Danio rerio: one gene and its partner. The protein of the gene in region 1 interacts with the protein of each later gene in a biochemical or structural test. Links are inferred from orthologs where the notes say so. Each region holds a gene or a part of one and is shown on either strand. Other genes may lie near its edges. The genes, in order: ube2f and rnf7.

Region 1 (4,329 bases):
TTCACACACATACACCACAGCCAATTTAGCTTATTCAATTCACCTATAGCGCATGTCTTTGGTAGAAACCAGAGCACCCGGAGGTAACCAACGCCAACTCAGGGAGAACATGCAAACTCCACACAGAAAATGCCAACTGACCCAGCTAGGAATTGAAGCATCAACCTTCTTGGTGTGAGATGACAGCGCTACCCACTGCGCCACTGCACTGCCAATTTGTATAATACACACATATTTTATCTAAATATAAATAAACATTTAGTCAAATATATTCATGCATGTCTGTATTTATAGACACAATTAAAATACACAGAACACACATTTAAGTCATGTCGAAACAAACTTTTATTTTGGATGAGATTAATAATGATTAATTTTTGCCCAGCATTATATGTACTTTAGGGAACAGATGATCACAGATGCACGGTTTACTTCATTTATTTAAACAAATAAATTGATTATCGAAATATGAAATGAGAATTAGTAAACCCCTTTTCTTTTTAAAATATTTCCCAAATGATGTTTAACAGAGCAGGGAAATTTTTCACAGTATGTCTGATAATATATTTTTTTTCTGGAGAAAGTCTTATTTGTTTTATTTCAGCGAGAATAAAAGCAGTTTTTAGTTTAATTATTAGCCCTTTTAAGCTATATATTTTCCCGATAGTCTACAGAACAAACCATCATTAAACAATAACTTACCTTATTACACAACCTGCCTAGTTAACCTAATTAACCTAGTTAAGCCTTTAAAAGTGACTTTAATCTGTATAGAAGTGTCTTGAAAAATATCTAGTCAAATATTATTTACTGTCATCATGACAAAGATAAAATAAATCAGTTATTAGAGACAAGTTATTAAAACTATTATGTTTAGAAATGCTTAAAAAAATCTTCTCTCCGTTAACATTAAACAGAAATTGGGGAAAAATAAACGGGGTTTAATAATTCTGGGGGTTTAATAATTCTGACTTCAACTGTGTGTTTGTGTGTATATATATATATATATATATATATATATATATATATATATATATATATATATATATATATATATATATATATATATATATATATATATATATATATATATTCCGTATGTATATATATATATGAATTGCCTTTTAAAAATAATTATTTAATATGATTCTAAAATTAGTTTTTTTTTTCAGGTTGTTGGAAGCAATGGGAGCCTCGTCGACTGACACAGAATTAACAGTGATAGTAAAATATTTTTATATATTAGCCTCTAAACCGCGTAAATCCTGACATGATCCTTCAAACCAACAGCTCCATCGAACAGCATCAAAGCATGTTTTGTATCTCTGCTCTGAAGCGTTTGAACAATAAACACTTCACTTAACACCACGCTTGGATTTACTGTGTCATGGGTTTAATATTGCAAAGAACTCCATAAAAGAATTAGCTAAAGTGCTGTAAAGTTAAGTGCCTCAAAATCTCATTTGGGCTTTGTACAAAATAAGGGCGGAATTTTATTTCTGGCGTTTGATTCCATACGGAACTCTTATTAAATGAACGGAACAACTTCCGGCTTCTAAACCGCTCAGGCAGCGGAAATCATTAAACTCGGCGGAACTAATCCTCGCATCGTTCCACTCAATTTTGTTTCTTTTATCGACGTTCAGCATATTTTATCTTGAAGTTGTTTTGGGGGGAAAACGTGCAAAATTCACGTCGGGTGTCCCGATTATGGTGTAAACAGGGCAGTTCAGTCACTCTGACAGCGGCAGGTAAGTGCATTATCGATCGCAGCCGAGTTATTTCACATATTTAGAGTTGTGTTATGAATGTAAATACCTTTTAGACAATATATTTAATTGTGTACGAAAATATTTAGCTGAATCCTGGTATAAATTATGCCCTGAGCGATGAGGATTAGATTGTAGCTGCTAGTAAACATGTTAGCAAAATAACGCCTGGTGACACTAACTGGTGAATATGAAAGTTTGAATGGATTTAAGTCATGCTAAGTTATCTGCACATTGAGTTCTTATTATAGACCATACAACATAGAAGTTGTGTTATAGTTTTAATATTTCATTAAAGGACGTTTTGTAATGGCATTAGAATGAGGGTAACAGATGGTAATAACATGCTACTTTTATTTATACAGCTGTGCTGACAGAACGCTCTATTCATCTACTATGGTATTACCGTGGTATTCCAAGGCATTTAAAATGAGCCATCGCTTTATTTCAGTACATGTTTAGAAAGAAGCTTTATACTTTATTTGTAGTAAGTTACAGTGGTATGGTATTACTGTGAAGCCAATGACATGCCAATACAATTCGCATTAGAGATTTCGTACCTTTGTATTTATTCCAGTATAATAACATACAGTTGAAGAATTATTAGTCCCCCTGTATCTTTTCTTCCCCAATTTCTGTTGAACAGAGAAACTTTTTTTCAACACATTTCTAAACAATAGGAAACAACTCATCTCTATTTAACTTATTTCTTTTGTATTTTCCATGATGACAGTACATACTATTTTACTAGAGAATTTTCAAGACACTAGTATTAAGGGTCTAATAAGTTTAACCTTAAATTGATTTTTTAAATATTAAAAACTGCTTTTATTCTAGCAGAAATACTACAAATAAGACTTACTCCAGAAGAAAAAAAAACATCAGACATACTGTGAACATTTGCTTGCTCTGTTAAACATCATTTGGGAAATATTTAAAAATGAAAAACAAATTCAAAGGGGGCTAATAAGTCAGATTTCAACAGCAACTTTATTAAAACATGTGTTTATAACACCCATATTTGTTGTTATTCAAATATAGCAGTAGTAGTGTTATTATTCTACAAACAAAGTTATAATGGTTTACAAATGATATTAAAGGACAGTCTGTCATGTATAATAACATCATAGGTCTTTTGAGCTTAATCGTATAACAAGAATGCTAAAGCTAAAATATGTTCAATGCAAAGAACTTAGTTACTGTCTTAAACAATAGCTGTCACAACAAATTATTAACATCAATAAATATTTCATATTTCAAAGTTTAAACTAATAATGCAAAATCAGTGTAATGTTTACCAGTCTTGTTTTTGTATCTAGACTCTATATCATAGGGTTACCAATCTCGGTCCTGGAGGGCCCGTGTCCATGCAGGGTTTAGCTCCAACTTGCTTCAAAACACATGCCTGTATGTTTTGAGTATGGATAATAAGACCTTGATTAGCTTGTGCAGGTGTGTTTGATTAGGGTTGGAGCTAAGATCTACAGGACACCGGCCCTCCAGGAACAGGTTTGGTGACCCCTGCTCTATAATATTAAAATATAAAAGTTATGTAGTTTGTAGTTAGCATCACTATAGTTTTGCTATGTTTTTAATGTTTTTATGACACTTTTAATATAGATTTACTTGTTATTCATTTTTTAGGTTTTTATGGTAATATTTTACAGTAAGTATTGCTTACTGTAAACTTTTTCTGTTACCTACATTAGTTAACTACCTTTTAGAAGAATAACTGAAAAAAAGGAGAAAAAATGTGAAAAGGAGTGCTGTTTTCATTTTAGTTGGGTAAGTTCAACTTAACGAACGTTAGAAATGTTTCTAAGATAAAGTTTAAGTTATAATAATTATAATAAAGCGGATATATATGTTTTTTAATACTTTCACTTGTGTTTGGTGTTCACTGATGGTCATTGTGTGTATTTGTGTTCCTCACAGGTGTGTTAGGGTGTGTATGTTGGTCTGCGGGGATGCTGACGTTAGCCAGTAAGCTGAAGAGGGAGGAGGGCGTAAGGGCCGGCCGGACCCCTGCAGGCTCTAACGATGCCGCTCATAGAGTGTCCATCAGAGATCGACTGCTCATCAAAGGTATGAAAAAAACACTGCCTGCTGGGATCATGACACACTGGTTTGCGTCTAGTGGTTCTGACCATTTTTAGGTCTGCCCTGATTTCACAGTCAAAACATGTAAAGATGGACAGGTTATCTGATGAAACTTCTGGAAAATACTTGAATTTCAGACATGGATTCAAGGCCTGGAAAGTAAGTAAAGACAAACATAGGTCCGTTTAAGTGCTTGAATTAAATTTTAAATTAATTTGCTTATGGTTTTTTTTCAACCCAGTTGTTGAATACAGAAAGAAAAAAACTGAGAAATTCTTAAATAAAAATATTGTAAAATAACACAGACAAATAATGCACATTTTATCGATATATCAGAAACTGCCTTTGAATATTACCAGTAGGGTTGGCCCGATAGACGATGCCTTCGTCCATTGCTGATGGCCGATAGACAACATGATGCTGAGGCGGCATCGCGATCCTCCACTCCCCGTTGCAAACC
Region 2 (3,815 bases), on another chromosome or scaffold:
GTAGCAATTCAGTTTTGTCAAATTTGTTTGTAGAGTAATACGTTTTGTGCTTGTCTTTACAACACAAACATTTTGTTTATTCATGTTTCAATTGATAAGATAATGAGGCAGCCAAAAAAGATCCAACAAATATGAATATACATGATTTTGAATACAAGCTACAAGGTACCTAATGTTGCTGGGCTGTAATTCTCAGTGATTTAAGCTTGTCTCAATGTCTTAAACATCATGTCAACCACCAAAATACATCTTTGTGCATCAGATTTACTCTCAATTACGCTCTCTAGAACAAAAGCCCATAATGAGAAACACTGCAGGGGGAGTTTTAATACAAATGTAATTAATTGCTGTTGACTTAAAAGCAACTACACCTTTGATTGTGAAATTGTTCTCATGGGTTTCAGGACTTATCGCAAGCTCTCAAATCCTGAGCTAATTGTTTCACTGGAATTAGCAGAGGATGGAGAAATAAGCAGGGTACTGGAGAAAGACTTACGAAATGCTTTGTCAGACAGCTCTCAGTGCTGCACAAGCCACAAGGAAAAGTTTTTGACATTATTTTTCTTTCTAGTTTTGTTCTGTAAAATATTTTATCAGATAAAATTTGTACTTTGAATTCATAAAATATGCATAATTGTTGACATAATTTCCTTTTTTTAGTGAATATTGCTCCCGTCCAGGGAGGTCTTTTTAAAGACATCTGAACAGTTGTAATGACTAATAATTGATTTAAAACAACAAGCATAATCAGAAAATGATTTTTTAAAAATCACTAGTAACACACTCCTATAAACATCAGCTTTATTTATTTATTTATTTCTAACATAATTAAAACACACACTCACAGTTAGATCAACGCACATGAAGTCACGCTCACACCCTTAAGTGAATCTTGCCGGATCTCTTCTTAATGCTGTATGAGGTGACAGAGGGATAAAGTTCTGGATTTTTGCCTCCATGGTCGCATACATGCACACGCCGAGGTTTTCTTACACACTAAGCACCTCGAGATGCTCTGAAGTCAGTCTGGTCTCCCTAAGCGGAGTAGTGCCAAAGTGGACGGAGGAGATGTGGGTAACGAAGCTTGAGTCTTCACTTGCCGATCCTCTGTACCACCCAGTCCTGTTGGCATAGTGGGCATCTATTGTTCTGCTTCACCCAGAGGGACATGCAGCAGTTGTGGAAGGAGTGGTTGCACTCTCCCCACACCACTGAGAGAAAAACACAATCAAAAAAACTGTAAATCTTTGAACTTTGATGGCAAAATAATAATAATAATAATAATTTCTGTACCATAGAAGAAAGAAATAACGGCTTGTAATTAGGGCTGCACAATATATTATTTCAGCATTGCTATCGCGACGTGATCATTCACAATAGTCACATCGCAGGATATGCAATGTTTGTATAATTTATCATTTGCCTGCGTTTTCATTCACATGATGCCTGTGATTGTATAATGATTTTCAAAGCAGTCAGGTGTATACAATTTTTTGTGACCTTAACTATGATAATTTTATTTTATTATTTTTATCATTCAGTTACTGTACTTGAATACGGTAAGACTCGGGAAACGATTGGGGAACACTTTATTTCAATTGTATCTTTTTCTTGATCGTATTTATAGATTGTTAAAACGTTTATAGACTGTTTATTGGATTTTCTGAAGATGCACTTCCACTGCAGAATCATCCCAATGTATCTAACATAAATTCCTTCCAAATAGATATTAAGTCATCTGGTGAAATTGTATTCATATCGCAATATATACTGCAAAATAAAAAACAATCGCAATTTTAGATTTTTCCAATATTGTGCAGCCCTAGTTGAAAAGATGTGAGGGCAAATATCTGAGTAGTATTTTTGTGTCTTCTGAATTTGAAGTAGCTTGTTTATTTTCATAGTATCGGCTTCATTGGCTGTTACATGGCAGATATATTTGATGACATTATTTTGACAGTAGTAACAGAATGGACCAAAATCAACCATTTTACAAAAATTTACTTAAAAAAAAAAAAAAAATTATATATAAATATATATATATATATATATATATATATATATATATATATATATATATATATATGTCAGATTTATTAGCCCCCGTTTTAATTTTTTTTCTTTTTAAAAAATTGGCCAAATGATGTTTAACAGAGCAAGGAAATTTTCGCAGGACAATGACAAGGGGTCATTTGGTGTTTTCCAAGACTCAAATAAATTTTATAAACTATTTCAGTTACCATATTTAAATCAAAACCCACAGAAGATAGTTAATAGTTGCGTTAAAGAAACAACAACATACAAACAAAAAACAGCCATCATCCACAGATCACTCTATGAAATTGTATTCATATCACAATATTTATAGACAAAAAAAAATGTAACGTGCAGCCCCTAGTATTAGTACATAATGTATTTACAGAATATTCAAGCTTTACATAGGAAAGGTATTACTTCTTTGGCCTTTTTTAGGGAGATGCTAATGGTCTAATCCGATTTAATGATTTATGCTAAGCTAAGCTAAAAGCGTCCTGCCAGACCTGGAGATCAGCTGAATGATTTCATAAATTGTAAAACTCAACTGTTTAAATAAAAGAGAGTTGTAAAATGTTTTTTTTTAAGCATAGTGTTACTTTAAGAACAAAATAAATACAACTTTATCTTTAAATCAACCTTCAATAAAACTATAAAAGCGTGTTTCTGGTTCAAGCAAAACATTTTCAAAATGTTTATCCTAAAAAAAAAAAAGATAGATAAATAAAAGACAACTTGCAGCTGCTATGCTGACATTTAGGTGCCTCTTTACTTTTCAACAAACATTTAATTATATATTTAATGTGTTGCTGCTTTAAATATCAAACATGAGAGCTGTCCTTTGATTGTACCAGTTGTCCAACCAACTAGTGTGATGGCAGGGTGCGTTTGATGACGCAAATGAATACTATGGATTGTGTCATCGGACATAGTACTTAACCCCAGGTTGCTTTAGTTGGATTAACCCTAATATGCATACAGTAAGTCACTTTGGACAAAAGCATCTGATAAGTGTAAAAAGTGTATTATTTACTAGTAGGGATGTCAACAAGACACTTCTGAGACATAAAAAAAAAGACTAAAAGAGACTAAAGAGACTTCTGAGACTAAAAATAAATAAATAAATATATAACAGGAAAAACAATATAAAGATGCAATTCAAAATGTTTCCAATTAATTGTATTGTAACGAATGAGTCTTCAGTTCAGCTTTAAGTATGAATTATCATATGCAAAAAACAACAGAATAATATTTAGGCAATGTACAAGGTCACCTGAACACTACTAACTCAAAAGTATTGGCTTCTCTCCAGTACAGATTCACACAAGGCTCTTCAGACCTTGAACTCTGCACGAACTGTGAGCCTCAAACTTCTGACTGAAGCTGTGCGTGACCTTCCAATTTTTATTATTATTATTATTTTTTTTTTACAAATTATAAACGACAGAAACTAACAAAATTTTATTTTTCTTGTTTATTTTTTTTTTAAACACTGACTATCATAGTAGGTAAAACAATTATAGACGTCAATGGTTCCATGTTTCCAAACATTATTCTAAATATCCTCTTTTGTGTTCAACAGAAAAAAAGAAGCTGTAACATGTTTTGTGACAAGTGAAGGGTGAGAAAAAGATGACAAGATAGAACTTTTATTTTGGGGTGAATTATCCTTTTAAGAGCAAGGAATAATTCATGATCAAAAAGCATTTTATTAATACTAATTAATACTATTATTGATAATAATACTACTACTAATTAATAACAAATTATTCAAGAATGAT

What was found.
Region 2: the proteins of ube2f (region 1) and rnf7 form a complex in vitro, tested with the Homo sapiens proteins (10 studies listed by BioGRID, with this or other methods). The link is inferred for Danio rerio from reciprocal best matches to the Homo sapiens genes UBE2F and RNF7.

The regions. Positions count from the first base shown.
Region 1 is NC_133176.1:8,054,946-8,059,274, forward strand, and holds the start of ube2f (NEDD8-conjugating enzyme UBE2F), read left to right. Parts: upstream 1-1,518; 5' UTR 1,519-1,751; intron 1,752-3,413; 5' UTR 3,414-3,554; intron 3,555-3,704; 5' UTR 3,705-3,736; coding exon 3,737-3,854; intron 3,855-4,329. Other genes in the region: si:ch211-93g23.2 (uncharacterized protein), read left to right, coding at 1,173-1,269. UniProt on the Homo sapiens protein: Accepts the ubiquitin-like protein NEDD8 from the UBA3-NAE1 E1 complex and catalyzes its covalent attachment to other proteins. Together with the E3 ubiquitin ligase RNF7/RBX2, specifically neddylates cullin-5 (CUL5).
Region 2 is NC_133193.1:44,696,298-44,700,112, forward strand, and holds the end of rnf7 (RING-box protein 2), read right to left. Parts: intron 1,212-3,815; coding exon 1,093-1,211; 3' UTR 794-1,092; downstream 1-793. UniProt on the Homo sapiens protein: Catalytic component of multiple cullin-5-RING E3 ubiquitin-protein ligase complexes (ECS complexes), which mediate the ubiquitination and subsequent proteasomal degradation of target proteins.